3 linked regions of the Pelodiscus sinensis genome follow. The main gene of each other region encodes a partner of the protein of the gene in region 3 in a complex. Links are inferred from orthologs where the notes say so. Each region holds a gene or a part of one and is shown on either strand. Other genes may lie near its edges.

The links. Proteins that work in one complex are often made in the same cells at the same time.
Region 1: the proteins of CFTR (region 3) and GOPC are in contact, whole or in part, in an NMR structure (PDB 2LOB), measured with the Homo sapiens proteins. The link is inferred for Pelodiscus sinensis from reciprocal best matches to the Homo sapiens genes CFTR and GOPC. Residues at the interface, in NP_000483.3 of Homo sapiens: Val1475, Gln1476, Asp1477, Thr1478, Arg1479, Leu1480; in NP_065132.1 of Homo sapiens: Gly298, Leu299, Gly300, Ile301, Ser302, Ile303, Thr304, Gly305, Glu308, His309, Glu317, His319, Thr347, Lys348, His349, Lys350, Glu351, Val353, Leu356.
Region 2: the proteins of CFTR (region 3) and YWHAQ are in contact, whole or in part, in a crystal structure (PDB 7QI1), measured with the Homo sapiens proteins. The link is inferred for Pelodiscus sinensis from reciprocal best matches to the Homo sapiens genes CFTR and YWHAQ. Residues at the interface, in NP_000483.3 of Homo sapiens: Arg764, Arg765, Arg766, Gln767, Ser768, Val769, Leu770, Asn771, Leu772, Met773, Thr774; in NP_006817.1 of Homo sapiens: Asn38, Arg41, Asn42, Ser45, Val46, Lys49, Arg56, Arg60, Glu113, Phe117, Lys120, Arg127, Tyr128, Glu131, His164, Pro165, Ile166, Gly169, Leu172, Asn173, Val176, Glu180, Ile217, Leu220, Asn224, Leu227, Trp228.

Annotation. Positions count from the first base shown.
Region 1 is NC_134713.1:84,049,439-84,059,281, forward strand, and holds the start of GOPC (Golgi-associated PDZ and coiled-coil motif-containing protein), read right to left. Parts: upstream 3,968-9,843; 5' UTR 3,641-3,967; coding exon 3,347-3,640; intron 1-3,346.
Region 2 is NC_134713.1:27,903,668-27,913,388, forward strand, and holds the start of YWHAQ (14-3-3 protein theta), read left to right. Parts: upstream 1-5,754; 5' UTR 5,755-5,910; intron 5,911-7,243; 5' UTR 7,244-7,328; coding exon 7,329-7,622; intron 7,623-7,628; exon of another isoform or gene 7,629-9,721. UniProt on the Homo sapiens protein: Adapter protein implicated in the regulation of a large spectrum of both general and specialized signaling pathways. Binds to a large number of partners, usually by recognition of a phosphoserine or phosphothreonine motif.
Region 3 is NC_134711.1:45,168,545-45,178,657, forward strand, and holds the start of CFTR (cystic fibrosis transmembrane conductance regulator), read right to left. Parts: upstream 4,102-10,113; 5' UTR 3,982-4,101; coding exon 3,929-3,981; intron 1-3,928. UniProt on the Homo sapiens protein: Epithelial ion channel that plays an important role in the regulation of epithelial ion and water transport and fluid homeostasis. Mediates the transport of chloride ions across the cell membrane.

The DNA of each region.
Region 1 (9,843 bases), on a different chromosome or scaffold from region 3:
TGGTCTGATCCAGTATCGCCATTCTTATGTTCTCATTTTCTCTTCTTCCCCCGCCTTGCTGCCTCTATCTGATAGAGGCAGGAAGCGGGGAAGGAAGTGACTAGTCAGCTATCCTGTCAATTATCCAATCAGCAAATTGATAGTCAATTAGTCCTTCACATCCCTAACTTAAGATTGCCCAAAATGGATAGAATGAAAACCACAATGCACAAAATAATCATTCAAAAGATACTTCAAAAAGATAAAGACAAAAAAAACCATCAAACCCCCCCAACTGTATATATCAAAGATATATTAAAAGTAATTGCTCAAAAGAAAATTATTTAACTAAAATTAAGAGCTTTGTCCTCACTTTTCAAGCAATCCCTCCCAGAGGACAGGTGTATGTATGTGAGAGGGCATGCATGTCCAGATTTTGGTCAGGGTTTATATAGTCTGCCCAGAACCCCGCTTTTATAACACCACAACCTTTAAATTAGAGGTTTTCAAAACTGAAGGACATATAGAAAAGTTCCAGGGGATGAGCAACACTGCGTAGCAGCTCAGTCTTCAGACCCATGTGTTTGGAAGGGAACTACCTCTTTCCTTTGACTTGCATATTTTTGTCTGTGTTGGGAGGAGGGGTACAACCAAAAAATTTAATTTCAAGAGGGGCTCAGTTCAAAAAGTTTGAAAATTGTGCACCCATTAAAAGAGTTACCTGTTACCTCTGCTCATTCCACAATTCCAATACCACCTTCAGACTTCATTGCTGCTTATATCCAGTCTCAGTCCCACTCCATGTACTCCACTGAAGCATCTCTCTTAACTGTTTCCTTTTTCTCTTCCTTCATTCAAGCCTTAATGATTGTTTCCCCCAGTAATTATACAAGAATTTGCCAGTATCTTCCTTCCCCTTCAAATAGATCATAAAACTCACCTGTTTCCCAAGGTACAATAAAACTGAATTGCTCTTCCAGAACATGCTATCCATGCTGATTTAGTCTATGGCACCACTATATTGTGGCTATATGCATTAGATTTATCAAGCAGGAGACTTGCCTTATCTAATGTACAGCAACACGCATACACATAATACAACAAACAGCAGTCTGGAAAGAACTTCCATGAACTATAAGGAAGTCAACTTTGTTCACTATAAACTAACAGGCCGTGGGAGAGAGGACAATCCTTACCTACAGACAACCCCCCCAACCTGAAGCAAATCCTTTACGGCATCTACACATCACACCTCAGATACACTCACCTGGGAACCTACCCCTGCAACAAACCCCGTTGCCAACTCCATCCCCATATCTATTCAAGCAACAGCATTATAGGACCTAACCACATAAGCCACAACATCAGAGGCTCATACAACTGCACATCTTCTAAAGTGATATATGCCATCAAGTGTCCCATTGCCATCTATAGTAGCCAAATGAGAATAAATGGACACACATCAGAAATGGTAACACACATAAACCTGTAGGGGAACATTTTAACCTGCCTGGTCACTCAATTATGGATTTAAAAGTAGCCATTTTTCTACAAAGGATTATCACTAACCAATTACAAAGAGAGTCTGCAAAACTGGAATTTATCTACAGATTTGATACAATTACTCTGGACTTACACAAAACAAAGACATAACTAGTTGGCATATTACAAAGCCAATTTCTCCTGCCATTAACAACTGACAGGTACGTCTGTTGCTATACATAGCTCTTGATTGAAGAGTTCATCCAATGAAGTGGGTTTTGCCCAAAAAAGCTCATGATTCTATTAGGGATGTCAATGTAGAACGTGGCACCAGAGGTATGTGTATCAGAGGCACCAACGGGGGAAAGGGCGGAAGGGAGGAGCCGGTGCCTGTAGGTAGACAGCTTTAAGCTGACTCCCCACGGTCACTGGATCCAACTGCCCCTCAACCTGATAGAGAGGCAGCAGCATGAAAGGCAGGAAGCAGCCAGCTCTCTGAGTGTGCTGGCTCTGTGGACCAGCCTGTCCACTCCTCCACTGCCTCTTACTGCGGGTCTGGGCTCACCGTGGACAGAAGCTGCTCCAAAGCAGCAGCCCCTGTCTGCGGCGAGCTCAGGCACCACATGGACAGGGGCTGATGCCACACTGCCCTGTTGCCTCTCAATCAGAGGCAGCAGCACAAGATGGCAGGGAGTGCCTGGCTGCCAGCCCCGCCCCCAGAGACTATCGAATAGTTGAGCAACCATGCCCTCCTCCTTTCCCCAGTGTGCCATGGCTGGCGAGGCTGGAGCCATGCCACATACCCTACGCCCTCCTTCTTCTTCTGGTGCTCCAGGGCTGGAGAGGTGAGGTTGGGCTGGGCTGCATGGCACGCTCGCCTCCGGAGCTGGTGAAGCCAGGGCCATACCGTGTACTCGGTCTCCTGCCTGGGGCTGGAAAGGCTGGGGTGAGCGCATTCCTGCCCTTCCCTCCCCCTGATTGGGAGGGGGGAGCACAAATGGGGCCTCAGCAGAAGGGGTGGGGCTCGATGTGAGGATGGGAGCTTGTCTCCCCCAGCCCTGCCTTCACCAACACCCCATGCTAACACTGATACCCCTCAGAGATGATCTACTGAACTTGTACTCTACTTTTAAATATTCTCTAATCTTAGCTACTGCATTACTAATACTCAAAAGACATTTTGCAGACCCATGTCTTGCTACCCAGAAGAAGTGGGATTAAAATCATGGGCAAAATGTTTTCTTCCTACAGTCAGCTATTTCTGCAACAGACCAGCTCTAGCTAGTTTAATAGCTCGGGGTGACTATATAAATGGCAATTTTAGTTACTTCTGAATCATAGAGCAATGAGAGAACCACAGTTGGTGACCTAACAACCCAACCAGGTTCTTACACTGCACATCACCATATCTGAGTTCAGAGAATTTTTAAAGCATGCTCTTCCCTGCTTCTTTCACTAGGTAAGAGTGCTTTCTTGGTTATGGATTTTTTAACTTGATCATCTGATTAGGTGATGTTTTGATTTGTGAAAAAATATTCTAATTAAGAAGTTGTGTGTTTTTGTACTGGTCATTCATTAGTCCGGCCCATAGCTGCCATGGGAAGCCAAGCTATGACTGAGGAGAGGAAAAGGTGCCCCAGCTAGCTAGAGCCAAGTGCAGAGAAGACAGTGGACAGAACAGACACCCTGAATCCCAGCCTGCCCCATGGGAGACTAAGGCAGCAATCAGGGCACTGGGGAAAATCCCCACCCCGCGTCGGTCAAGCCCTTTGCTTCCCAGTTCCCCCAATAACTCAGCACTCGGCTACCCAGCCCCACCCCCCGCGTGCCCCTTCAAACCTCCTCCCCCGTCTGGCCACTTTCAGGTCCCCCCCCCCGCCCTCACCTCCAGCTTGTGGTTGATCTGGGACACGGTCTGCGCCTTGTGGCAGAGCTGGGCGAAGCAGGAGCTGAGGCTGGTCATTTTCTGCCGCCCCTCGTAGGTGATGTCCGCCTGGTCGGGGTCGATCTCCCCCAGCAGCAGGTCCACGTCCACGAAGGCCTTATCGAACTCCTTCTCCAGCACCTCCAGCCAGCGGAACATCGACACCCCCCCGCCCGGGGAGGAGACGGCGGCGGCGGCCCCTCCGGCACAGGCCCCGGAGCCCGAGGCGCAGGAAGCGGCCCCCACGCCGGACATGTTGACGCCCCTCGCGGCCTTGCGAGGCACCCGCTGGGCGCGCGCCCCTCCGCCTCAACGCCCGCGCGGCTCTCGCTCTCACTTTCACACACCTGCGCGCGCCCGCCTCAACGCCCGCAGGATGCGGCGGCACTAGCCTCCGCTTGGCTCTGGTGAGAGGAGCACCACGACCCCACGGCGCATGCGCTGGAATGCTGACAGAGTCTGGTTGCGAAGCGGCGCTCTGTCGCCGGACGGGGCTCGTCGATTGACTTGTGCTGCCTGCCACAACTGAGACCGCACCTCAGGGAGCCTGGCCGAACGCCACGCCATCGATCCCAGCGCCAAATGTGACAACTCACACTTTGCGCAGGCGCCGCCTGCTGCAGCGGCCCGGGAGGCGGGACGGGTCTGGGCTGTTGCAGTTCCCTGCGCGCTGCAGAGCCGTCGCCAGGGGGCGCTTCGCCCTCCCCTCCCTTCCCCAGTCTCCAGATCTGCTCCCGTAGCAGCTATTGGCGCACTAGTGGTCAGATTTGGCTCATCTCAGTTTCTGCTACCCATGCACGTCTCACTGGTCCGGGGGCAGCAAAGCCAGACAGTTGGCTGGGGGTTCAGCCTTTACCACCTGTGCACCCATCACTGGTACAGAGCCTCTGGCAGAAGGAGTAGGACTGTGGGTTTGTGCCCCCAGCTAGCCCATCCCATGCCACCCAGGGCACTAGCAGTGATTTGCAGGGCCCAGGGCTCTTTTAAATCACTGGGCCCTGGGGCAGCTGCCCTTCCTCTCTTCAGAAGCAGAGGGGGAAAGAGAGACAGGGAGACACTCAAATAGAGTATCTTATTTCAATGCTATTTCAAAATAGCATATTTTGTCATCAGCACCAAATTTCAAAATCAAGTGCTATTCCAAACTGTCCCTTACTCCTCGTAGAATGAGATTTACAGGGTTATCGGAATAGCAAACCCAAAATAATGGGCTTGCTGTGGAGACGCAGGATAGCTATTGTGGGATACGTTGCAGTGTAGATGTAGCCTCATTTTGCTTCACTTCACTCATGCTTGACAAGTGGGAGGAGGGGCCAAGGCTCAGTGCTTCCCACCAGGGCTGGATTAACTATTCTGGGAACCTGGGGCTTGTAGATTTTGTGGGTCTCCCTTCGGTTCTGAGGTGGGGCCAACAATAAGTTGGTGTGGAGTGCAGGCAGAATGTAGAGTGCTGTAGTGGGCTGAGGTTGCAGGGTCTGGGAGTGTAGGAGAGGGGCGAGATCTGGGGTATAGGCGTGGGGTGGGAGTGCAGGGTCTGGGAGGGGTGAGGAGTGGGAGAGGGGGATAAAGGTGCATGTTCTGGGTAGGTGGGGGCAACTATCTAGCACAGCTCAGGGAAGGGGGATGCAGGTGGCTCTACATGGCTCCCCGCTTGCAGGCAACTGCCCCCCCATGCTCCCACTGGCCGCAATTCCTGGTCAATGGGTGTGCCTGGGGTGTAGCCTGCAAGTGAACATAGGTGTGACAGGGGCTTGAGCCCCCGCACTAAGAGCAGCGCCGCTCCGGCACTCTGAGGAGCGGGCTCCGAGTCGTGCTGGGTCTGCCGTGCATGCGCGGCCACGCGCCCAGAACTGATGGGGCTTGGGACCTGGAGGAGAGGGAGAGCGGGAGAGCCAGAAGGAGCGGAGTGGAGGCTGGTTGTGTTTTCCCCAGCAGGTCACCGGAGGGATGTGGGTGAGCCGAGAGGACCCCAACCCAGAGTGCCCAGCCCTGTCCAGAGCAGAGCAGAGAGACCGGAACCCAGGAGGAGAGCCCCGCTCAGACATTGAGTGACGGGTACAACCGGAACTCTGGGACATAGACATTGGGGGAAGGGAGGCCATACAGGGAAAAGAAGCATAGAAGGGACAGAGCGGGGAATACGGCACGGGTCGGACCCTGGAGGCAGTCCCTGGACTCTGTTACAATAAGGATAGAGCTTTCCTGCGCTGCTGTTCCCAGAGCCGCATCCTCCCCCTGCCAGGCAGGCCAGATGCACCACAGGGAGGAGCTTCTGGGGCCATATTCCCTCCACCATTCAAGCCCCCAATGTGTGCCCACTTATTCATTGGTATGTGTACACTGGCATGCCCCTGAGGGCTGTCTGCTGGCAGCATGATGCAGTCCCAGTCTGTTCATTCTTTCTTCACACATAACCTTTCCGGGTCTCTAATGATTTTGTGTGGCTTGCAGATCTCTCCATGTCTGCTACATCTTTTTGGAGGTTGAGTGACTAAAAGTGAACCCAGCCAACACTGCAGGTGAGGGCAAACTCTCAAGTAGGCTGTGCCTATGAAAGCTCATGATACCATCTACATGTTTTGTTAGTCTTTAAAGTGTTACCAGACTATTTGTTGTTTTTTAAGTTTGTCTTGTTACAGACTAACACGGCTACCCCTCTGAAACTTCTCAACTTATAGAATGGCATGGAAATTAAAGTTCTCGCAGTTAACTCGAGTGATTAGTGCAAAACAAATTAGCAAGATTTTAAAAAGCAGTGGTAGATGATGCCTGAGCTATGGTGTTGGGAGCTGTGTGAAGCAAGTAAGTGGCCCCCACCTCCTCCAAGACAAGACCCCGCACCTCCAGCCCCCTCACTCATTGTCCCTCAAGCCAACATCCCGCACTCTGAGCCCCTCACCTCTTCTACGAGACCCTGAATTCCCAGCCTGCTCCTGCACCCTCCTCTCCTCTTGCACCCTGCCCCCCTGGCCAGACACCTACCCCCAGACAGGGGGAGTTGACAAGCATAATGAGCAGGAGATGCAGCCCCCTAGTAAGAGAGAACATTTGTAAAGGAGCAAAACCACCATTAAAATGGGTTACAAGGATGGGTGTGTAATTCAGGGAATCACAGCGAGAGATAAGACAAATTTGTGAACTGTTAAAAGACTTCATGTATAAACTGATGGGAGACTTTTAAATCCTCAAAATGTGTTACTCCCTCACATGCTGCATGTGGAATGTTTGCAGCATTCTATCTTCTGTGCTGTAGCAGTGCAGAGAGAGAGGCGCTGTGGAGGATAGCCAGGAAAGCCAAGGCATTAGGGCAGCTGTACCTTTAATAGCACAATCAGGAAGCTGCCCTGTGCTCCAGCACTGGTACATTTCTCCCTGAGAGGGGAAATAAAACCCCTCTCTGCTTCCCTTCGTGCCCCCCCATCCCTGCCTTTGCACACGCGGCAGATGGCTCATCCCCTTAGGTAAATGTTACCCCCTTTGTCCCTCCCTGTGTGGGGGCAAAATCCCAGCACAGGGCCTATCAGCATCTCCCCCTCCACCAGCTCCAATCACCCCCCCACACCCGATTTTTCCCTTCCAGCCCCTGTTCTGCCTCACACTAAAGTTAATTGACTCCCGAGGCTGGTTAATTTCTGTGCCCTGCCCTGCCCATCCCCCACTGCAATTGCCTCCTAACCCCCCTTTTAATGATTGTAAAAAGCCTGGAGCAGCATCTGAATCCATGTAAGGGCAGAGTGAGGACAGTAGCTCTTACTGAGCATGCTCAGTTCCAGTGCAGGTGCTCAACACCCTAGGTATTGACTTTTGAAGCTCAGCTGCTTCTCACTCTACACCAGCCCAGAGCTGTTGGTGTTGGTCAGAGGCCAGGAGGTGCTCCCAGGAGCAGCATCTCTGACCTGCACCATCTGGCCCTGCAGTGGTCAGGCTGCTGTGTGCCTGCAGCTCAGCCTCATGCTTGTGGGATGTTGGTGGCGGAGCTTGCTGCAGGGCCTTCCTATGCAGGAAAAGAGCAGCAGGGGGCACAAAGGATCCCAGCCCTCCCTTCTTTCCTTTGGTATTTGAATCCAGTCAGTCCCCTCTGGTCTTCCCACCCTGGGAACTCCAACTGGCCCTGTCTTTTCCTCCTGACCTTCTCCAGCTTTCTGCAGATCACTCCTCCACCAAGTAACCCCAGCTCCAGAAAACTAGCTGGCCCTAGCCTCCAATCCCCCCTAAACTATCCAGCCACACCTGAAACCTTGACAAATCTAGCTTCCCTTATATACCTCTCATATTGACCCCACTATCACCAATCTGCCACAGTCTCCAGACACCTCCATCTTCTACACAAACCTGGCTTTCTCCCCACACAGCACTTCCCACCTTCCCTGAAACCCTTCAGCATGCACTCATCTGTCACAGCTGACAAATTTTGTGCAGCTCCATGTTCTGTCCCTACCACTGTTTGGGGAAGAGTTCATTGACTTCAGAAGCCACAGTCATGGTCATATGTGTATTATATGTATAACTTAATTAATGAGCTATACTACATCTGTAAGTTGCATACAATGTCACACATTGAATTGCACAAGACTTGGCAGTTATGTCTGTTTTGTGTATCAGTTTCCACATCTGTAAAATCTGGTTACCTCACAGGAGGAATTAATGTTTGTCGTACCTTGAGAACCTTGGATAAATGTGCTGAAGAAGAGCAAATGCTTAGTATTGTTACAATATCATTACTGTCTGGTAATTACCAATTGCCAAGAACCAGCCAGTTCAAACACCTAATTCTGCAATCCATATTCAAACAAAAACTTGATCTCAGGAGGGAGATATTCTACAGAGTGCATACTCCATGATTAGGTTCTGATTCAAAAGGGAGAATTTTGTTTGTGGAAGGACTGAAAATCCAGTCCCAGACTTTGATATTCATGTGCTACCATCTGTTGGTGGCCAGAAGTAAAGGTATGTATTGCAACTATTTTCAGAACTGAGATTTAAGATATAGAGCAGGGATGGCCAACCCATTCCAGACGAAGAGCCACAATAGTAGTGGAGACAGCATGAAGAGCCAGGGCAAAGTTGTTGAGAGAAAGAAAAAAAAACCCCACCATGCAGACACTGTCCCACAGCTGCTTTGTTTGTTTCTTTCTTTCTTTATTTGTTAACAGCTTTTCCCCCAGTCTTCACAGCCCTGCCTTTTGTTTGTTTGTTTGTTTGTTGGCTCAACAACTTTGCCCTGCCTTTTCACACTGTCTCCACTGCTATTGTGGCTCACAAAAAAAGCACTGGGAAGGGGTGAGAGGTGCAAGCTCTGAGAAGGAATTTGGGTGCAGGAGGAAGTAGAGAAGAAGATGCTGGCTCAGGGAGGGGGCTCCAGGCTGGAGAGTGTTGGGATCAGGTGGAAGGTTGGGGTGCTGAGCAAGCCGCAAGCTTGTGGCTGTGAGGGTGCAGGAGTTTGGGCTGGGGTGCATGAGGGGCTCAGGACAGGAAGGCTGGGAGTATGATGGGCTCAGGACCCAGATTTGCAGTGTGTGGATGGTTCAAGAGTGTTGTGGCAGAAGACTGCGGCTGTGGGGGTGCAGGAGTTTGGGGATGTGAGAGGCTCAGGACAGGAGGTTCCAGTGTATGATAGACTCAGGTTTGCGGTTTGGGGGGTGCAGGAGTGTTATGATGCTGCAGCCAGATGGGGGCTTGGCCCCAATTGGGGGCTTGTTGGCCAGGCTTCATTTTTAAATAAAATATTATGTCAAACACAAAATGTTTCAGCGTTGTCTTTATTTATGAGAGGGGTGGGGTACCTGTTTTGAGTCAGGGGTCACTGACCCACAGAAAAGTCAGTCGGGCCACACAAGCGAGATGCAAAAAAAATCCCCTCCAAAACCCCCGAAGCCTCACTAATGTGGCCCCAACTGTGCTGGTGGAGGCAGCAGACAGGGTGCTGAGGCAGGGTGCTGGGGAGGGGGGATCTGGCCTGGGGGAGAGGACAGAGACAGCTGGAGCCAGTACCTGGGGATCCCAGGTCTGAGGAAGAGCACAGGCTGCTCTTCCCCTCCCCTAAACTGCTGGTGCACTTCCTGAAATGCCTGGTCTGTTGCTCTGCCAGGGACTTCCCAGGGGGGTGGGAGTAGGAATCCTGGTACTGCTTGCCAACTCCAACTTCTCAGGAAGTGCATGCTCTTCCTCTGCTCCCCATGACAGCTGCGTGCTTCCTGAGAAGTTGGAGCTGGCATGCAGTCCCAGGATTCCTACTCCCACCCCCCTGCACAGGCAGGCAGCAGGGGTAAAAGTTCCTGGTGGTGCGACAGACCCGGCATTTCAGGAAGCAAGCCAGCTGTTTAGGGGAGAGGAAGAGCAGCCTGCTCTAACCCAGTCTCCCTCCCCTTCCCCAGAGCCAGGCACACCCCCCCAACCAATCCCCCTCCCCCCGCTCTAACCTAATTCTCTGTTACCATGTGCACGCCCCCCCCCCCCAA
Region 2 (9,721 bases), on a different chromosome or scaffold from region 3:
AAAGATGTATTTTTATCACTCGCTGCTTCTTTTACTTGGTTAAGCCAAGCCACACTGGCACTTTTTTAGATCTCTTCCTGTGTTTTTTAATTTGGGGTACACATTTAAGTTGGGCCTCTATTATGGTGTCTTTGAAAAGTTTCCATGCAGGATGCAGAGATTTTACTTTTGTCACTGTACCTTTTAATTTCTGTTTAACCTCCTTAGTTTTGTGTAGTTCCCCTTTCTGAAATTAAATGCCACAGTCCTAGGCTGATGAGGTGTTTTTCTCCCTGAAGGTATGTTAAATTTCATTACATTATGGTCACTGTTTCCAAGTGGTCCAGCTATATTTACCTATTGGACCAGATCCTGCACTCCACGTAGAACTAAATCAAGAATTGCCTCTCCCTTTGTGGGTTCAAGAACCAACTGCTCCAATGGTCCTGGCAGAAACCACCAGAGTCGCAGACCTCCTGGACTACCGCCGGGGAGACTGGGTGGATCCTCAGGCGCTCGCCCAGCACATGGGGCTCTCCACCCTACGTACTCCCCAGCGCGTACTTCAGGAGGTGAAGGACGCTTTGCCGCCCACTGCTCGGGTTTACCTCGAAAAGGTCCTGCGAGAGGGTGCACCCCGCCCACCCCTCACCCCCAGCCCTCCCGAACTCTCCATTGGCCCCAAGCCCTGTGTACCTTCCCGACTGCCTCCCCCTCGTCATCTTAGCCGGCTGCACGCGATGCCGCCGGTCCCCTTCCAAACCGCGCCAAAGAGTCACCTGTACACGCTCGTGCTTCACACGCTCCACTTCCCCACCTTCATGTCCCGCCCAGACACCAAGTGGTGGGACCTCCTACCACCAATGGAGGGTGGGGAGCCCCGGTGGGCCAGCCTCTATTCGACCTTGGTGCCACAGCCCACCGGGGACATCTGCTGGAGAATCCTGCACGGCACAGTGAGCACAGGCGTGTACTTGGCGCGGTTCAACCCCACCCCCGACATGTGCCTCTTCTGTGGCGTGAGGGAGACGCTGGCGCACATCTACATCGAGTGCGCCAGGCTACAACCCCTCTTTCGGCTCCTCCAGAACCTCCTGTTGCAGTTCTGGCTGCACTTTTCCCCCCACTTGTTAATTTACGCATATCCCATCCGTGGCCCCACAAAGTCGCGGGACCTCCTGGTCAACCTCCTCCTGGCTATGGCCAAATGGGCAATCTACAAAACCAGGGAGAAGAGGTTGGCCCGGGGAGGGGCCTGCGACTGTGGGGCCTATTTCCGTTCCTGCATCCGCTCAAGTATCCGGGCAGAGTTCCAATGGGCAGCATCCGCTTGCTCTCTCGAGACCTTCGGGGGGCAGTGGGCACTGTCTGGGGTTCTCTGCTCGGTGTCCCCATCCAGTTCCCTCGTTTTAACCCTTTGACCCTCACACCCGTACCTGTTTTTTCATTATTTGTCCCCAGTAATTAGTTGGTTTTTCCAGATTCAGTGGACCCTCCCCTCAGGATGGGGGGAGGTCCTTTAGATGTGGGCGGGCTAATGCCCGCCCACCTCCTGGATACCAAATAGTACCAACTGCTCCAAGAAGCAGTAATTTAAGGTATCAAGAAATTTTAGCTCTCCATCCCATCCTGAGGTGATGTGTACTCAGTCAATACGGGGATAGTTGAAATCCCCCACTAATATTGAGGTTTTTTATTTTGATAGCCTCTCTAATCCCTTTGAATTAAGGATGTTAAAATGTGGTTAATTGACTAATTTTCCATTGACTAGTCAATAGGCACTTGTACATTTCAAAGGAAGAATGAGGAACTCCGCATAGAGTCCGGTGCCAGCAGGAAGTCCCGCTGACTCCGGGCTGCATGTGGGTGCCTGCTTTGAAATGCACAAGAGTCCCCAGCAGTCTTGTGCATTTCAAAGCCATGGAGCCTGGGGTCAGCTGGGGACTAAGAGTCCCCCGCTGATCCCGGGCTCCATGCTACACTGAATGCTCCTAGGAGTTCTGAGTGGCACTCCCCTGAAACCTGGGGTCAGCTGGGGACTCCCCAGCTGACCCTAGGCTCCCGACAGCATTTCCCTGGTACCCGGGATCAACTGGGGAGCCCTCAGCAGACGCTGGGTTCCACTGTTGCGGGGAGCCCGGCGTCAGCTGGGAGTCCTCAACTGATCCCAGGTTCTGGGGAAGTGCCACATGGAGCTGTGCAGTGGGTTCCCCTTTGAAACTGCCCCCTCCACCCATTTTACAAGGGCAGTGGAGCCCAGGGTCAGCTGAGGACTCCCCAGCTGACCCCCAGCTTTGTGCTGCACTTCCCCGGAACCTGAGATCAGCTGGGGAGTCCTGCCTGCGCAATGCCTGTGCCCTGAGCACTAGCTCCACACTCCCATTGGCTAAGAACCTGCTGCCAGCAGCTTCTGAGGCACAGCATGGTCTATGGTGTCAGTCGAGGCAGGAAGCCTGCCTTAACACCCCTGGCTGCACAGCTGACGGGAAGCTACTCAAGATAATCCCCTCCTATCTCGGCCCTAATCCCCCAAAGCCAGAGCCCCCTTCTCCTACACCCAAAAGCTCTCTTCCTCAGTCCCACCCCAGAGGCCACGCTTTAGTCAAATTATGTTGGGTTGCAGGCATCAATAATTTTCTTCAAATGGGTCACAAGGAAAATAGTTTGAAAACCACTGGACTATATGACCTCCTGAGATCTTCCAACCCTAATTTTCTATTATTCAGTTTTCAGGTTGATTTACGGTGAAATTTAGTCTTGAGAATACAAAGGAATAGATTGCAGTAGCAAGGTTTGCAACCAAAAGAAACAATTATATTCCCCTGCCCTGTTGGTGACTGAAGAGAGTTTTCTTGATCACTGGTCTATATGACCCATTAAACAACAGCTGGGGATACCACAGACTGCAAACTTTTATTACACTGGGCTAGCTTAAACCTGCCAATTAAGGGTCAGAAATAACCCTTGCCATATCTTCCAGTTCTTTCAGCATTGTGTCAGTGAGCTTCATACAACTAGCTCTTCTCCATGATTCAGACTCAAGTAGGCACTGAATAGGGTTCATCAGCAGAAGCTCAACTGGGATATGTCTATACTATGGGATAAGGTTGAATTAAGATATGCAACTTCAGCTATGTTAATTGCGTAGCTGAAGTCAAAGTACTTTAATTGAACTTCTGGTGCTGTCCACACTGCAGGAAGGTGAAGGGAGAACACTCTCCCTTTGACTTCTCTTACTTCTTGTGAAAGCAGGGATCACCCAATGAAATTAACAGACAGCAGATTTAAACAAACAGAAGTCCTAACCACACACTAAATAAAGAATCTCAGCCACTAATACCTTCATCTTCATGGTCCCCATGAAATCCTGGATTAATATAGAGAGCTCATCATCCAAGATTGATGTTTAAGTTACTGAGAAATGTCATCCTTGGAGATCCCAAAACCATTGTGGTAAGAAACTATATTAGGTCATGCAGGAACTTTGCAATGCAGCAGGATGATCTGCCTATTAGAATAAGTCCCAGAACTCTCACAAGTGTGCATTTAAAAAGTCTCAGAAGTGTAGCCATATCAGTCTGTAACTTTAAAAACAACAAGTAGTCCTGTAGCAGAATCATGAGTCTCTAAGGTGCAACAGGACTACTCATTTTTAAAGTATGCATTTAATTCAGCTTTGAGGTACAACTCCTGCATTTCAGATTAGCTATAAAAAACATAACCACAATACTTCTTCCTCCTCTTAGGCTCAAGCGGCCTGTACTCAGTGCCTGTCTAAAATCAACTATGCCAAAACTGGTCCAGCGGGATCATTCAATCTGTATTTAAGAATTGCATGCAAGACTGTTGGGGAGGGGTCACCTTTAATTAAATCATGGCCAGATGACACTTTAATAAACATTTATCTTACATATAACAGCATGTATGATCATAAGATTGGAATATTTGTCCACTGATATTGCCAACCTCTAGATGAAACCAATGGAAGAGACTGAACAATTTCTTGTTTAAACCAGGATTTCTTCCTGCCTTGTCTCCCCTGTCCATTAACACAAGGATCGAAGAATCCTAAACTTTCCAACCAAGCCCTTCATACCAAGCCTTTTTATCCACAATACAGAGCAGTTGTTCTACCTTCTTGGACACCTTCAAGGGACATAGCAGCCAAATCTGGTTGCCAGGAAAAAGATTTCCAGGGCTGGCTGCAAAACTTATTTTCTAGTCAGCAGAGAGAAAATAACCCTTCCCTGCTTCTGAGGCTCTTGCCTTTACATGAAAAATTACCAAACTTCTTCCAAACACCATCATTAGGTAAAGAAACGAGGACAAATTTATACCATCCCTTTTCCTACCTTTTTTCTCCCTGTCCCCCTTCCTCTCACTCCTACTCCAGACTAACCGCTCCAAAAAGACATAACTCCTTCCATCATAAATGTCTAACTCTTGGAAAAGGAGGAGTTCTTGTCTGCATCATCAACTGCATATTTTTACTGCTGAGGAATCAAAGATTGGTGACATGGCCTGAAATCAAGGAAAACTCAATCCACATTTTTTTGTTTTGTCATATGAATCTTTCACTTCCATCGAAGGAAAAAGGCAAACTTATCCACTCAAGTCTACACCCTTCTACAAATACCCCCTCATCAACTATTCCCAAATACACAAAAGAGGAAAAAAAGCCTTTAAAAAGTGCTCAGTCATTTCTCAAGATATGCTGACCATCATGAAAACCCAGGATAGACACAGACTATTATTGAAGGGGAGGAGAAAAATAATTTTGAATGTTAACTCCTTTTCATTCCCTCATAGCTCCCACCCATTTACCAATCAGCAACACACAATCATTTTCCACACCTCCCAATATCCATCTATTATTTCCCCAAGCACACCCCAACCAAACTAGTCCAGCATCACCCACCTATTCCCCATAAATTTTCCTGTAGTAATACCATCCACCACCCTATCCATCCCAGAATCCACTAATCCTTACAACCCACCTTCAACAGCTCACTGGTCTTTCATTATCCACTGCCATAGCCACATCCTTTTGAACCCCCAGTAGCTACTTTCACAGCACCCTAAACTTCAGTGGCACTTAACTAACCTTCATACTCACCTTTCAGTAATATAGCTCACAGCACGTCCCACCACCTCTATCCCCCCTCCTGCCGCCCCCACCCCTCCATCAGAGTAAGGATGTTAAGGGCTACTCGATTAGTCGCTCTTCCCCCTTGCTGCCTCTATCAGATAGAGGCAGGCAGCAAAGAGGGGGGGAAAGGGGAGGGGTGGGGCAGCGCCGCATGGAGCCCGCACCGACCCCATCAATCCCCAGTGATCCCTCAGCGTCCATTCTGCACCTCCCCTCTAGCAGTGCACGCTCCCTCCCTACAACGCCCGCCCTCCATCGCCCCGCGCTGCCACCCGCTCTCCGAACCCGGAGTCCCCCTCTGCCCCGCCCAGCCGCAGCAGCACGAGCCGCCCAGCCGCACCTCCGCACTGTCTCGTGCCGCGCCCAGACTAAGCTTCCAGTGCTAGGGCAGGGCGTGGAAGGGAGGAGGGGGGGGGGTGTAGCAGTATTACCATAGTTACAGTGACGTTAGCTCACCCTGGATCTAATTGGAGGAAACCCCGTGGCCCCAGCCGCAGCCCACGGACCAACCGAGCTTGCGCCCTGATTGTGCCCACCCCCGCGACGGCGCGCTACGTCTGGATTGGCTAATCGCACGCGAAGGGCGGGTCCCGGCTAGGAGCAGGCGTTCGGATTGGCCGTAGGAGCGCGGGTCTAGCAGCGGGTAGGGTTGCCTGTGCCAACGCCCTTTAGCGCTGGCTCTCGCCTGAGATAGGAGCGGCTCTTTCTCCTCGCCCCAGCCCCGAGCGGAGCGCACCCGATCCAGCGGCGTGAGCCGGCCCGGCCTTGCGGAACGGACCCAGGTGAGCGGGACCGAGATCGGCCACGGGAATGAGAAAGGTCGCCGCGTCCTCCATTTTGTGAGCGCGGCGCGGAGTCTCCGGCGGCGCCGGGAAGCGGGAGATGCCGCCAGCGCCGCCGCCATTTCGCACCCGGCGGCGCCCCGGGACGCAGCGCTTTCCCCTGGGCACGGGCCACGCCCTGCCCTGCAGAGAGCTGCCGAGCGCCGTTCTCCCCGGCAGAACGGCCGGGCCCGGCCTAAGGCGTGGAGCTGCCTCTCCCCCGCCCGCTCCGGGCTCAGCCTGCAGACCCCACCCACCCGGGCTGAGCGAGTCCTGCCCGCCGCACCACCCAAGGGGATGGGACTCCGGCGTCCCCGCCCTCCCCCGAGGGATCGAGACTCGCCGCCCTGCCGGGGAGGTTCGGGCAGTGGTTTCCCAGTGCTGCCTCTTCCCCGGCCTTGCGCTGGGGACGCGGATCCCTGTGAGCGCCCGGCCTGCTCCCGCGCCGCCTCCTTCGCCAAGGGACAAAGATTCCCCTATTGTGTCTCCTTATCTCGGGGCACCCCCCCATCTCTGCCAGCAGCGGGGGCCCCGCTTGCCCCGCGGGAGCATGAACTGCCATGCCGTCCTCGGATCCTCTTGTTCCGGGGCCATTGTGTCCCCAGACGCGCGCTAGATACCTGTCTTCTCCTTCCCGTGTCCTCTGGGGCAGTCTCATCCTGTTCGTCCTCCTGTCTCTGCCCTTCGGTCGGTGGTTATTCTACTAGCCCCATTCCCCACGGTACCCATGTTTAAGGCAAATCTCTCTGAAACAAGGCGTAGAGGGAAGCGTTTAGGCAGGGCTCCTGGAGATAGCCCCTTTAGGTTAATGGCTTCCAGCCGTCTATTTCTTCTCCTCCCCCTCTAATTTTTTTTAGTATTCCCGGGCTGCAAGCCTGGCTAGTGCACACAGGAGTGAGAGGGAGGAAAGTGGAGGTGGAAACAAAAGCCACTCTGAAGAGACTGGAGTGCCTTTTCCCACCATCTGCTCTGTAGATTGTGCTCCAGTGGGGAGGGATTGAGTTATCTTTTCCCCTGTCATGGTTTCTGGGTTATTAACCTTCTGTAGAGACCCTGGAGCACTTGTCCTGTGACCAGTTCCCTGTGAAATGGGCTGGCTATATAAGCCTAAGGTTCTTCATTCCAAGATAGCTTTTGAGGTGGTGTAGTGGTGGAGATCCTTTATGGTCTGTGATTCTTGATTAATAGAATGATGATTGGCTTGATGTCTTCTGAGTCTTGGAGAAGGACAGAGTGTGGTGTCCTGTAGTTTTTGGCTCCCAGAGTCATGGCTAATCTGTTTCCCCTCTGGCAGGTTTTGAGGTGCCTTCTCCTTTTGACAGTGTGACAGCATCAGCTTCTCCTTCTGCCTTGCTGCCCTTTCCCCACTGCCAGCCACCATGGAGAAGACCGAGATGATCCAGAAAGCCAAGCTGGCTGAACAGGCCGAACGCTATGATGATATGGCTACCTGCATGAAGGCAGTAACCGAACAGGGTGCAGAGTTATCCAATGAGGAACGCAATCTGCTCTCGGTAGCCTACAAGAACGTAGTGGGGGGACGGCGCTCTGCCTGGAGGGTCATCTCTAGCATTGAGCAGAAAACAGACACCAATGACAAGAAGATGCAGCTTGTCAAGGACTATCGGGAGAAGGTAGAGTCTGAGCTCCGATCCATCTGCACCACTGTGCTGGTGAGTGGGGGATCTGGGGATACATCTTGCAGTCCTTTGGAAGTGACATATAAAGCATCTGTTCTTAGCTCTGTTGAGATACATAGGTTTGGGTGTGGGAGATCTGTGTGCAACACTCTGCTGGGGTGTGGGATAAGCCATTGCACCACTCTACTGAGGGAAGCAGGGATAGTTAGTTGTAATGAAGTGTGGGAAAGGAGGATGCAGTGAGAGGGAAGATCAATATGGATCACTCCTGTAATTATGGGGGCTACGGAAGGATTTGAGCTCGAGATTGTGTGCACCATTGTGTAAGTACAGCAGATAGTTGAGCATAACAGGGTTGGAAGGAAAAACAAGGATGCTTCTTCCTTTTGTGGTTCCTGGTTAATAACGCTTTTGTAACCATCCAGGTTAACCAGTGTAATATCTGAATGACCGGCTTTGGAGTGCTCATTTGGGTGGTGGTCACAAAATTCTGTTACCTTAGGTCAAGAGGAGATTTGTATAACATGAATAATTTCATAAGAGGTCTTGAAGTAAAAATATACTGTATAAAATATAAAACCTTAAGAGTCAAGTATTAAATCTGTAGAAAAGCAGGCATTCGGCACTTGCAAATATACTTCTCAGACTGCCTATTACAATAGAGATGCAATGGTTGTAGAATAATGCAAAACTACCAATGATTTAAGCTTGAAAGAAGTACTGCAGATGAATATATAATAGTACAGCAATGTTTGTATTTTTTTTACTGTACCCTAGTCATCTAGATGATCATAATAGTACAAATATGCTGCAATACAGTGGGTGCTGAATCTGTGTCAGCCGTGAAGAATATGCAGCACCCTATTCCAGAGGATCAATTAAAGTTCTGGCTGCAGAAAGTTAGATGTGCAATACAGCTGGAAGCAATAAATAATCTTGAATTACTTTATCACCAGTATAATGATAAAACAGCATTTCAGGTGGTATCTTAGGAAGAGGTGATAGCAAGTTCATAAAATAAATGTGTTTCAGATTTATCCAGGTGATCAGGAGACTAGTTGTCTTTTTCAGTAGTTATTGAGAAGCAAATTCAAGCCAAGAATTCTAACTCATTTGACAAGGGGGGGGGACATCTTTCTGGGTTGTGTGGAGATACACATTCCAATATATGCTGCCACCTAGTTTTTTGAATTAAAAATATGAGTTAACAATTGTAAGCCGTCTTGCAAAGTTGTATATGAAACAACCTGGTAAATGGGTCAAACCAATTATTTTTCCTTAACACTCTTAGAGGATATTTCATTTCTTTAAAAACCTGTTAATGTTTCAGACATGGTTAAAATTTTGGTAAAACTTTTTTTTAATAGCATGACTCATAAACCACAGGTTTAGAGTAATTCTCATTTCCTGTGACAAAATTCTAATTAGATTTAGTGATGTGCTGCCAATATTTTACCATGGAGCTCCCTCACACCATCTCTCCTTTTCTGTGATGAAGTCTAGCCACCAGCATGTTGAGATTGGTACGCACAACCAACCCTCCAGACTTTGAGGCTTTACCCCTTTACTTCCTGTCAAATGGCATTCTCAAGAGGTTTTGTGATAAGTGGCCTAATGGCTCTGGAACTGAATGAGATGTGAACAGTGAGCCAGCTCTTTTGGGGTCTTGTCTATACTGAAGTTACATAGTTAAGGTAATTGGTGCTTAGTAACAGATGTAGCAGTGCTAATGCAAATGTGTAGTGTTCACAAAGAGTATTTGAGTATCTGTTTGACTGGACCTGCTCCCTCTGCTCTCATCTGGGGTCTGATTGGCAACTGCCTGGTTTAATTTGCCCCTAAAATCTGCAGGAAGTAGTGAAGACAGAACATACAAAGTCACATGCTTTTCCTGTTCCCTGTCATCAGCAAAGACACTGATGCACAACTTCCTGTGGGGGGTGGGGGGGAGGTTCATTATGAGTTTTCACTGCTAGTTATGATACTGCTGCTTTTCCTCCCAGTACCATCTGCAGTTCTACCCCACTTCTTCTTGGTTACCTTCTTCATTCTGCTACTTTGTTCCATGAGTCAGCAACTGAAAGATTGAAACTGCCACTATAAAGAATAAACTTCCCAGCGTTTTCAATAAG
Region 3 (10,113 bases):
GCAAAAGGAGCACTTGCTTAACTCCACAAGGACTGCTTAGCGTGTGAAGACGATGGAAATACTTTGCCTAAGGCTACATGTACATTGAAAATGTATGTGTAATTGTCATGTGAGTAAGACTGCTCATGCAAGCTTCGATCTAACTGACAGTGCAGTCTGGTCAACTCAGCAGACACCCATTTGTGATCCAGGGTACATACTTGGGTTGCTAGTCTGTTCCAGGTTCCATGATGACACATATTCATCGCTGCTGTTACCCATGCTATCTAAATTAAAGCTGGAATGGGTATTCCTATCTGCACTACAATTACACCTTAACTTGTGGAGTAGACATATCCTAAGTCTTTCCTGGATCAGGGTCTATTTTCTGAGTCAAGATTCATAGAGCCCAACGTCAGAAGGGACCGGTGACAATCATCTAGTCCAACCTCCTGTAGAACACCAGCTATACAGAGCTTCCCCAAAATAATTCCTAGGGTATATCTTTTAGAAAAACATCCAGCCTGGATTTAAAAGTTGTCAGTGCTGGTGAATTCACCACCACCCTTGGTAAGTTGTTCAAATGGTTAATTACTCTGAATTTTAAAAATGTACATCTTATTTCCAGTCTGAGTTTGTCTACATAAGAAGTTTCCAAAGCATAGAATAATGTCTTGTCAATTCTGGAGCTATAGCAAAGACAGAAGTAGCATAATTACAACTTGTGTAAATGTTTTCCTAGTAAAAGTTATTACTTACCTTGTTTATTTTTCATGTCTTCAGCATGAAAAAAATGTAATATTCTAAACCAAAAGCTACTTATTTATTCATAGTTGTAAATGGTTCCAAAAATATCTAATTTTTAAATTATGAACTTTTATAGTCTATACTGACCAAGCCTCTCTTGCTCTCTCTTTTTGCCACCCTGGATCACTTTCTCGAATATTCATAGAAAAAAATGGGTATTCCCTTATTAAGAGTCCATATGTGACTGATTCTTTATCAAACTTGTTATTGTCTGAACTTTGGTTTAAGGTAGAGATTGGACACATTTTAAAAAATGTACAAATACAGCATTGAAATGTATCTGTCTTAACTTCATTAGTTACAAACTAAGATCCAAATTCCTTACTCAGCTATGTTCACATATCTCCCAAGCAGGACACATGCATCTAAGCAAAGAATCTGGCCACAGGTTTGCAAAAAGTAATATATTACTTAACATTTCATATGCTGTCGTCAGATAGCTGAGAACCACTATGATGAATGATATGTTTATCACTGAGACTCCCCTGGTGGATAGTATCTTATCTGCAAGTTTCACCACAGTTATTTCAAATGGTCGTACAGTGACCTTCAGTCTACTACATTACATCGAGATTGGCATTTTACAAATACAAAGCCAAGAAAGAAGCAGAACCCAGTACAAACTGTGAAAGTGAAAATGTCTTAAACTACATGAAGACAGATTATAGGACAATGTTAAATAATTGTTGTTTGAAGGAAAAGTAACTTTCTTCCATTTCATTTTATAAACAAAGGAAGTATTGACTTCTTGATTTTATTTCAGCTGCACTGTTCATGCTACACTAGAATAATAAAAGCATCAAACCTGGTACATGGGATAGCATAAAAGGCACATGCTTAACCTTAAGTATATTCTTAAGTGCTTTCTAAATGAGAATGCTTTCTAGAACAGGGTTTGCTCTTGTTATGCAGATACAATTACACACCAAAATGAAATTCTATCATTTTAGAAAAAACACAGCAAAATCCAATATTTAACCACAAATTTATGGGATGAACCAGTTTATTGAATCTACAAGTGTTTACCTAATGCTATACAAGAGTATTGTTCTGGTTTTGTAAAGTTCATCACACATAGTATTTCTTAAATTCTTTTCACTTCTTATAACTAGATAATTTCACTTGTTGCTGTATGTCAGCTTGCTTTCTAGCAACTACAATAACATATTTCCCCCCAGAAATTTATCCTGACCCTATGAGATAGATACTCTGTTTGGGTAACTGAATAGCAAAGGCATGTATTTTCAAATAAACCAATATACTTTCATAGTTTAAAAATGTTAGCTTTTGAACAAATTTAATAAATAAAAACTATGTATTCTGGCACCCTTCTAAAAGAAGAGTTTTGATGCAACTCTTAATATTCACCATTTTTACATCTAACTAGTGTTAGCCTATTGATGTATCAAATAAAACATTCCAAAAGCACTGAATCGTAAAAGGGATGATATATGTTGAGAAGGAACAAAGAAATCATTTGTAATATAAATGTCCTAGACAACAAATAAACAAAAACTTTGTACTACACAGAAATTTATTAGTTTACCAGTTTCATTCACTGTGAAAGTATGCCCGTATTTACATTTTTTTGTGTTTATTGCAAAGAAAGTTTATTTTCAGTGGGTTGACTTTTCTTCTACCACACCAATTAGCATTATAAAATGGTTTACATATTGGTGACAAGGAGAGAAACATTGAGTATATTTCAGCATGCTTTTTTTTTAATTGCAGAGTAATAAATGTTATATTAGTTGCATTTATTTCAGTTTCACAACAGGCCTAATCCAAAGCCCACTGAAGTCAATAGAAAGATGCTCCTTCAGTTCAATGGACTTTGGATAACTCAAGATACTTAAGCAGATGCTTCACACTGACCATGTGTTTAAGTCCTAGTTCAGACCAGGGAACTTTTGCCTAAAGAAGGGATCAGAGATCATTTTTTTTCTTGGAGTATATTTTTTGAGGCTTAAGCATCAGAGATTCTAAGATACTTACTCTATGATATGTCCCAGAAATAACTAAGATGAAAACAAACTAGAGGCTGGACTAACCTCCCAAAAATATTTTAAAAGAGGCAAAGTTATCCTGAAATCTAGCCATTTTTAAAAAGTGAGTCTGAGGGGTCACACTTGCCAGAAGCAAAATGCAGGACTATGTAGCACTTTAAAGACTAACAAGATGGTTTATTAGATGATGTGCTTTCGTGGGCCAGACCCACGTGGGTCTGGCCCACGAAAGCACATCATCTAATAAACCATCTTGTTAGTCTTTAAAGTGCTACATAGTCCTGCATTTTGCTTCAGCTACACCAGACTAACACGGCTACATTTCTATTACACTTGCCAGAGTCCTCCTGCCATTCATAAGCACAGTTTACTATTTTATAAACTGATTTTCTTACCCCTATTGATGCCTATAGGAAGCAATAAGGAAAACTTTGTAGCTGCGTGAAACCGGGTGCACCCAGTAGGCTGTCAGAGGTACAAAGTTGGGGAAATATGGAGGACGATTTTTGTCTTTCTAATCTTGCTCCCGTATGATCTCAAGTGTTACTTGTCACAGCTCCTGGTAAGGGATTCTCAGATGTGTGATTTGTATGTGTGTACTGCGTGTGGTGATGGTGGTGGAGGAAGGGGACGAAAGAGAACACGCAAAAAGAAGAGAAAAGGGGCCACGGACTTTCAATCCATCAGGACTCGTCTGACCGAGATCTGTGTCTAGGGAGTTGACCCTAAAATCACTTTCAAGAAAAGTGCTGGCGAAGCAAATTCCCTCCGGAGTTCTCACACCTTGCAGAGAAATGCACAGCCGCCTGCCGCGGTTTACCCAGGGCTGCTCAGATAGCCCGCTCTGAATTCACTCCCTCAGGGAGCATCGATGGCACGAGCTGAAGCGGTGTCCGCCCCTAGTGTTCAGAACACAGGCACGACGTGCCCGGGAAGACCACGGAGCGCGGCGCCGGCGGCAACAACCTGGGCAGCGCGAGGCGAAGGGGAGCAACCCCAGCCCGACTCCGGCCAGGCGCGCGGCGGCCGCAGCCCGGGGGCTGAGGATGCAGGATCCGAGGGACCCCGCCGAGCCGCATGTCGCGCGCTGCCGCCCGCCGCAGGGCCCGACCCCCGCGCCCGGCCCCGGCTCTTACCTGAAGAAAAGTTTGGAGAAGACGTTGGCCTTCTCCAGGGGGGAGCGCTGCATGGTGCCCGGGGCCGCGCAGGGAGCTGCAGCGGCGGCTACTTGCGAACCTCTCCCGCGCCCGCCCCGCTCCTGCGGCTCCCCCACCTTATGCACCCTGCCCGCGCTGATGTCATTGGCTCCCTCCTTCCCCTGCCCCTCTCCCCGCCTCTGCTGTGTCCACGGGCCCGGCCTCCGGCCCCCGCACCCCGCCTGGCCTCGCCCCTCCGGCCCCAAAGGAATCCTCCTCCCAGTCCCGCCCGCCGCCGCCAGGTGCGCGCTCCGGGACCCCAGCCCCGAGTTCCCCCGAGGAGCCCCGCGCTCCAGCGGCTGCCTTGCGGCATGAGGGGGCTGGCCGCGGAGCCTGGTGACGCCCTCGGACTTACTCGCCCCACACTTGTGCTTCGGGGCTGTGTGAAACCGTGAGGCTCCAGAGCCCCTTGGGGTCAGGTCTCCCCCGGATAATCCCCCCCACCCCTCGCAGTTTTCTGGGATCACTCCGACCCCCCCCCCTGCTCCTGGGCTCCAAACGGACCTTTCCTTCCCCCTAGGAAAGCCCCTTCCCCTGCCCAGGTCACCTCTGCGCTTTCTGGGTTGTGCCCAGGGTCTTATTCTCTGCCCCCTGCCACGCAGTCTTTGTCTGGTACTGTGTAACACGGCCCACTCCACAGCTCTGAGCCCAAAGTATTGCTACATCCCATCCCCACCCCTAGCTCGGCTGGTAACTCAAATGCCAAGCACAACACGTTGCCGACCTAAAAGAACTGGCAGAGGTTCACCAGGACACCTGCTATAAAGCCAATTTCGCTCTCTGTCAGCAAATCCTCTGGAAGAGTTTATGGAAAGAAACTCAGACTCCCACTTTACAATGAAAGACTTGGCATTTAAAGCATCAGAAGAAAAGGTAAAACTCGGCGAAATCAGGTGCAAAGGCAGTTGAAATCCCCGCTACTGCCTCATATTTTATAAACTGCTCAGTACACCTTGTTGCGTTAAATCCTGGAAGGCTATTGTTAAAAGTGTTAGGCACACATTGACATTGGACTGGAGCAGATTAATAGGGAAGCAGGCTCTTTGAACTGAGATTTTTATTATCTCGAGGCCTTTGGCAAATTTGTTTACTGTGAAATTACCTGATTAATTTCTGCTCGAAATTAATCTAAGTGCAAATGTTAATACTCAGTAATAAGGATACTCTCATGGAGTGTCCAGACCCCATGCTGTCTTGGCTACAAAAGGGTTACTGAGATTGGGCAACTGCCTGCCTGCTCAGCTGGGGCTGATCAGGGGACTCAAAGCAGCTGAGAGATTTTAAAAAAATGTAGAGCAAAAAGTAGGTGAGCAGCAGCCTTCAGTAACAAGTTGGTAAGATACTCCTCAGGAATATGGACCCTCTAGGGGATGGGACCAAAAAGGTAACTGAGGAACAGCTTGAAAGGTAGGTATGCTAGGTAGACAAGGGTAACATGAAGGAGTTGGAAGAGCTTGATGCTCTTTTGTCATAACAATGGCCATGTTGGGTCAGACCAGAGGTCTCTCTAGATCAGGGGTGGGCAAATATTGGACAATAGGCCAAATGCAGTCCACTAGGGTTAGTCCCTGTTGGGCCCCCATGGCACTGTATTTACCTGCATTCTGCAGGTGTGGGGGATCACAGCTCCCGTTGGCTGCAGACTGCTGTTCCTGGCCAGTGGGAGCTGTGATCACCCATACCTGTGGCAGCACAGGTAAATATAGTGGCAGCAGCCCACAAGTGGCTCACTCTGGGGAACTGCTGCTGTTTTATTGCCCACCTCTGCTCTAGCCCATTCTTTCAAACAGTGACTGAGGCCAGATGCTTTAAAAGGAATTAACAAAGCTGGGAAATTATTGCATGATTTATTTTCTGTCTTTTAGTCCGGTTTCAGACACTCAGAGGCTGAGAGCAGTGCAGAACCTGGGCTTATAGTCATTGATGGACCTACACTCCATGAATTTATCTTGTGTATGGTTCCTAGTCTGGAACCCAGGAAAGTGGGTTCCCTACCAAGCCCATGATGATCAAGAAAAAGTGAGCCATATCCAAAAGAGCCAAAAATTGTGTGCCCCTCAGCCAGGGATATTGACCTCCTAAAATTTTGGACTTTTTAAACTCCTCTTGCCCCTAAAAAAGGTCAAGGGCTCTCAGGGACCTGGCCAGACCTTGTCCATAACAAGGAGTCAATGAGCGGGCTGGAAGGTGGACAGGCCCTCAAAAAGGACACTTACCTGATCTAGCTATGAGAGATGCTGAAGATACTGAAATAAAGAATTATATCTGCTGCATATTTTTACCCTATTTCCATACTGGAAATGATTATCTAACTCACGACTGTAAGAAATGAAGCTGTGCTTTTTTTTTTTTAAACTTCCCAAGAACAATGATACTGGCTCAGTGAAGGTGGGATGTCACACATTTCATAACATTGGCTCAACAAACTATTATTTATGGAGTACAATATGTGTGCATTAACAACAAGGTACCTGGTTCCTGCACCCAAAGAGATTAAAATCTAAACATAACCAAAGTGCTGACAAGCATACAACTAACATTAGGAAAAACACTGATCACAGCATAAGAACATACGGTTATTTTGTTGAGTTATTCATTGTGTGATTGATCCTGGTTTGTTTTGTTTAATACCGTGGTTTTGCTATTTAGACACTACATTTGTTGATTTTGGTTTTTATGGTTTTTGTATTTAAAACATTAGATATGGAAAGGGTAGAGGAGAACTATCTTTCAGCAAGTGCATAGTTGCACCCCTCGGTATATTGTCTAGTACTTTATCCAGACTAGTTGCATCTCCAGCCCCATGCCTTTCTTTTTCCTTGCAATTTATGCTACCATTTAATTAGCTGTCATTCCTAGGATACTTTTACTGATATTTTTCTTTCTTAATTTTATATCATTATTCCTAGTTATGTCCAACTGTACTCCCATAAATAATTCTTCTTCATCTTGGTGTTATTACCGCATAATATATGAAGTTGGTTAATGTCTCCTCTTATGGAGTGGCTAAACAAGGCTTTTTTGTCTCAAATTTCCCACTGATCTTACCTGTGATAGCAATAATAGGCGTGTCAGTATCTTAAGCATTAGGGCAAACTCATCCTGCTTAGATTAGGTCTAGATGATGCTATGCTTGAAACATCAATGGCTGTTAAGCATTGTCTATTCTAGTATTCTCACTGTTGTGCTCACTAGTGGAGCTGAATTGGTGATAGCAGCAGTGTGAGTCTTGAGGAAAAAGGGCTAGTGGAGATGTCCCACTTAATTATTGTTCAGACTTGCGATGAGGCATCTGCCCCAAGGGTTAAATCCAAGCCTGGGAAAAGGCTGGGGCTCTGAAGCAAGGAGCTGCATCATATAGCAGCCAATTAGGGCACAGAACTCCTGCTGAATGCAGGCATGTGTCCTAAACCCTGGATTAGTCATTCTCCTCCTATCCCAGGGTATATCTACACTAGCTCGTTAATTCGAGCTAGATAGGCAAATCAGGCATCCAGAGTTGCAAATGAAGTCCTTAGTTCGGATTAACTTTAAACTGCCGTGGGCAGTTCGTTCAAATTAAGGGGGATTTAAAAATGGCGGCCAGACTGGAACATGCAAATAAAGCCCGGGATATTTAAAGCCCGGGCTTCATTTGCAACTCCGGTTGCCTGATTTGCCTATCTAGCTCGAATTAACGAGCTAGTGTAGACATACCCCCAGTGACTTATTCACAGTGGAACAGCTTCAAGGGGAGATACTAAGGGAATTCCAATTCAGAATATCTCAGAGCTGGCTAGTAAAAGCATCTACCTAACATTTCAAAAGCTGTCTTTCACCTCTTCACTCCCCCCCCCCCCCCCCCACATGGAAGAAGAAAGGGCAATGAACTTGTGTCTCCCACATTGCAGGTAAGTGCTCTAGCCACTGGGATGAAGAATATAAGGCATCTTGTGTGGAGCGTCGAAGGCACCTAACTTATTCTTGCAAGAAATAACTTGAGCACCTAAGCTGACTGCAGCTGGTGAGTCCTTGTTCATGAATTGCTATAAGCAGCTAGGTGCCTCCTTGCAGCCTGCACTTAGGTGCCTATCTGGGAATGAGGCTGGAGAAGTGTATGGTGTGGCTTAGCATGCATCCTTTTCTTCAGCATTTCCCATGGGTTAGTTTAGGAAGCTCCCTACCTAGCAAGTTGTTGTTTGTGGATCACATTTTTAATCCTAGGTATCTCATTCAGCTTTGTAGATTAGTGTTGTTCCTGTGCACATTTTTTTAACCACATAGGTGTCTAAAAGTTAAATGTTGTGGCACTTAACATTATAACCAGTGTTTCCTATAAGCTAGACCCTCATGCAGTCACTCAGGAGTAATTCAGATGCCACCCAGCTGATTAGCACAGTACCCACAGCTAGATATTTTGTTTCTATCCCTGGTTCACATAAAAATTATTCTGCACATAGATGGAAAAAATAGAGGGAATATTGGTTTCAATGCTCAAGTCCCTTTGGGTTATTTCTGTTCTCTCTGGTGGTTATGGCCTCTTCCAGTTTAGTGTCTGTGAATTTCAGTAACATGTTCTTTACTAGTCTAAGGTGTTAGTCTATAATTGGGGAAAAAAATGAATAGTTCTGCAGCACCTTAGAGACTAACAACAAATGTAGATGGTATCATGAGCTTTTGTGGGCACAACCCACTTCTTCACTTACTTCCATTTTCAGAAATGATAAATAAGTCCCAATCTGAAACCAACAATTTTATCCACTAATTTTATACATTTCCAGTTATTTTTACTGCATTTTGCTCAAAAAGCTTAGTAAAAGATAAAGTCCCTGATCCAAAGATCTTGTCCTGTGGCCTTTTTCAGCAAATATTTAACATAATGCACTAGATCAGCCACAAATGGAAGTTAGAAGCAAATAGCACATCTGAATGAAATGGAGATATACAAGTACATTTCAGTGACGCTTCAACCCTGCTAAGAAGACATTTGAGGAGTCCCCCATACTGAGAGTTAGATTAGGTCATATGCCCTGAAGTGAATGAAGCAGTGCCACTTACACTAGGACTGAAAATGGCCCAGGGTGTTCTGTTTTATGATTGTGGTTTTAACCATAAAAGTAAATGAATTGCTTTTCAAATAGGATATAACAACACTTCAACAATTTATTGGTGTATTAAATCCTAGGGCACCACTGAAAACAAGGTAGACTGGTTTCATCATAATGGCTATTAGAAGGGCTTTCAGCACTAGGATAAATTCAACACTCTGCTATGCTGCTGAAGAAAAAACTTTCAAGGGGGAAAAAAAGCAAAAATATATTAACTTACCAAGTACATAGAAAGTGATGGACAAATCAAATTCCATTTTCTGTCCACAAATCAGGTACGACATAGGATGCGACTATTCAAGTTTCCCTTCTGTCAACATGCTCCTACTGGCACAGGGAGGGGACTACATCTAAACATCATTTAATGTAGTTCACTCTGTAGCTCTCCTGAGGCTTCCAGGTCAGACACTGGTTAATGCTGCTTATGGTGGTTCCTGTGTCATGGATATGCCTATAAGAAATGGGATGAGGATACCAACTTGTTTTATATTAACCAATGAACAGACACCAGAGGCCAGGAAGCTTTGGTCACTCATGACCAGGGCCAGAGCTGATCTTCAGATGAGAAATTCTGATCAGTCCTTGAAATCATCCTACTTTAAATGAAATCCTGGCCCTACAGAAGTCAATGGCAAAAATCCCTGGCCAGAGCTACCCTCTGCGGGTATGTCTACACTACCACCCTAGTTCGAACTAGGGTGGTTAATGTAGGCAACCGAAGTTGCAAATGAAGCCCGGGATTTGAATTTCCCGGGCTTCATTTGTATCTTACCGGGCGCCACCATTTTTAAAGCCCCGCTAGTTCAGAGTCCGTGCCCGCGGCTACACGCGGCACGGAGTAGGTAGTTCGGATTAGGCTTCCTATTCCGAACTACCGTTACTCCTCATGGAATGAGGTGTACCAGTAGTTCGGAATAAGAAGCCTAATCCAAACTACCTACTCCGTGCCGCGTGTAGCCGCGGGCAAGGAGTCCGAACTAGCGGGGCTTTAAAAATGGCGGCGCCCGGCAAGATGCAAATGAAGCCCAGGAAATTCAA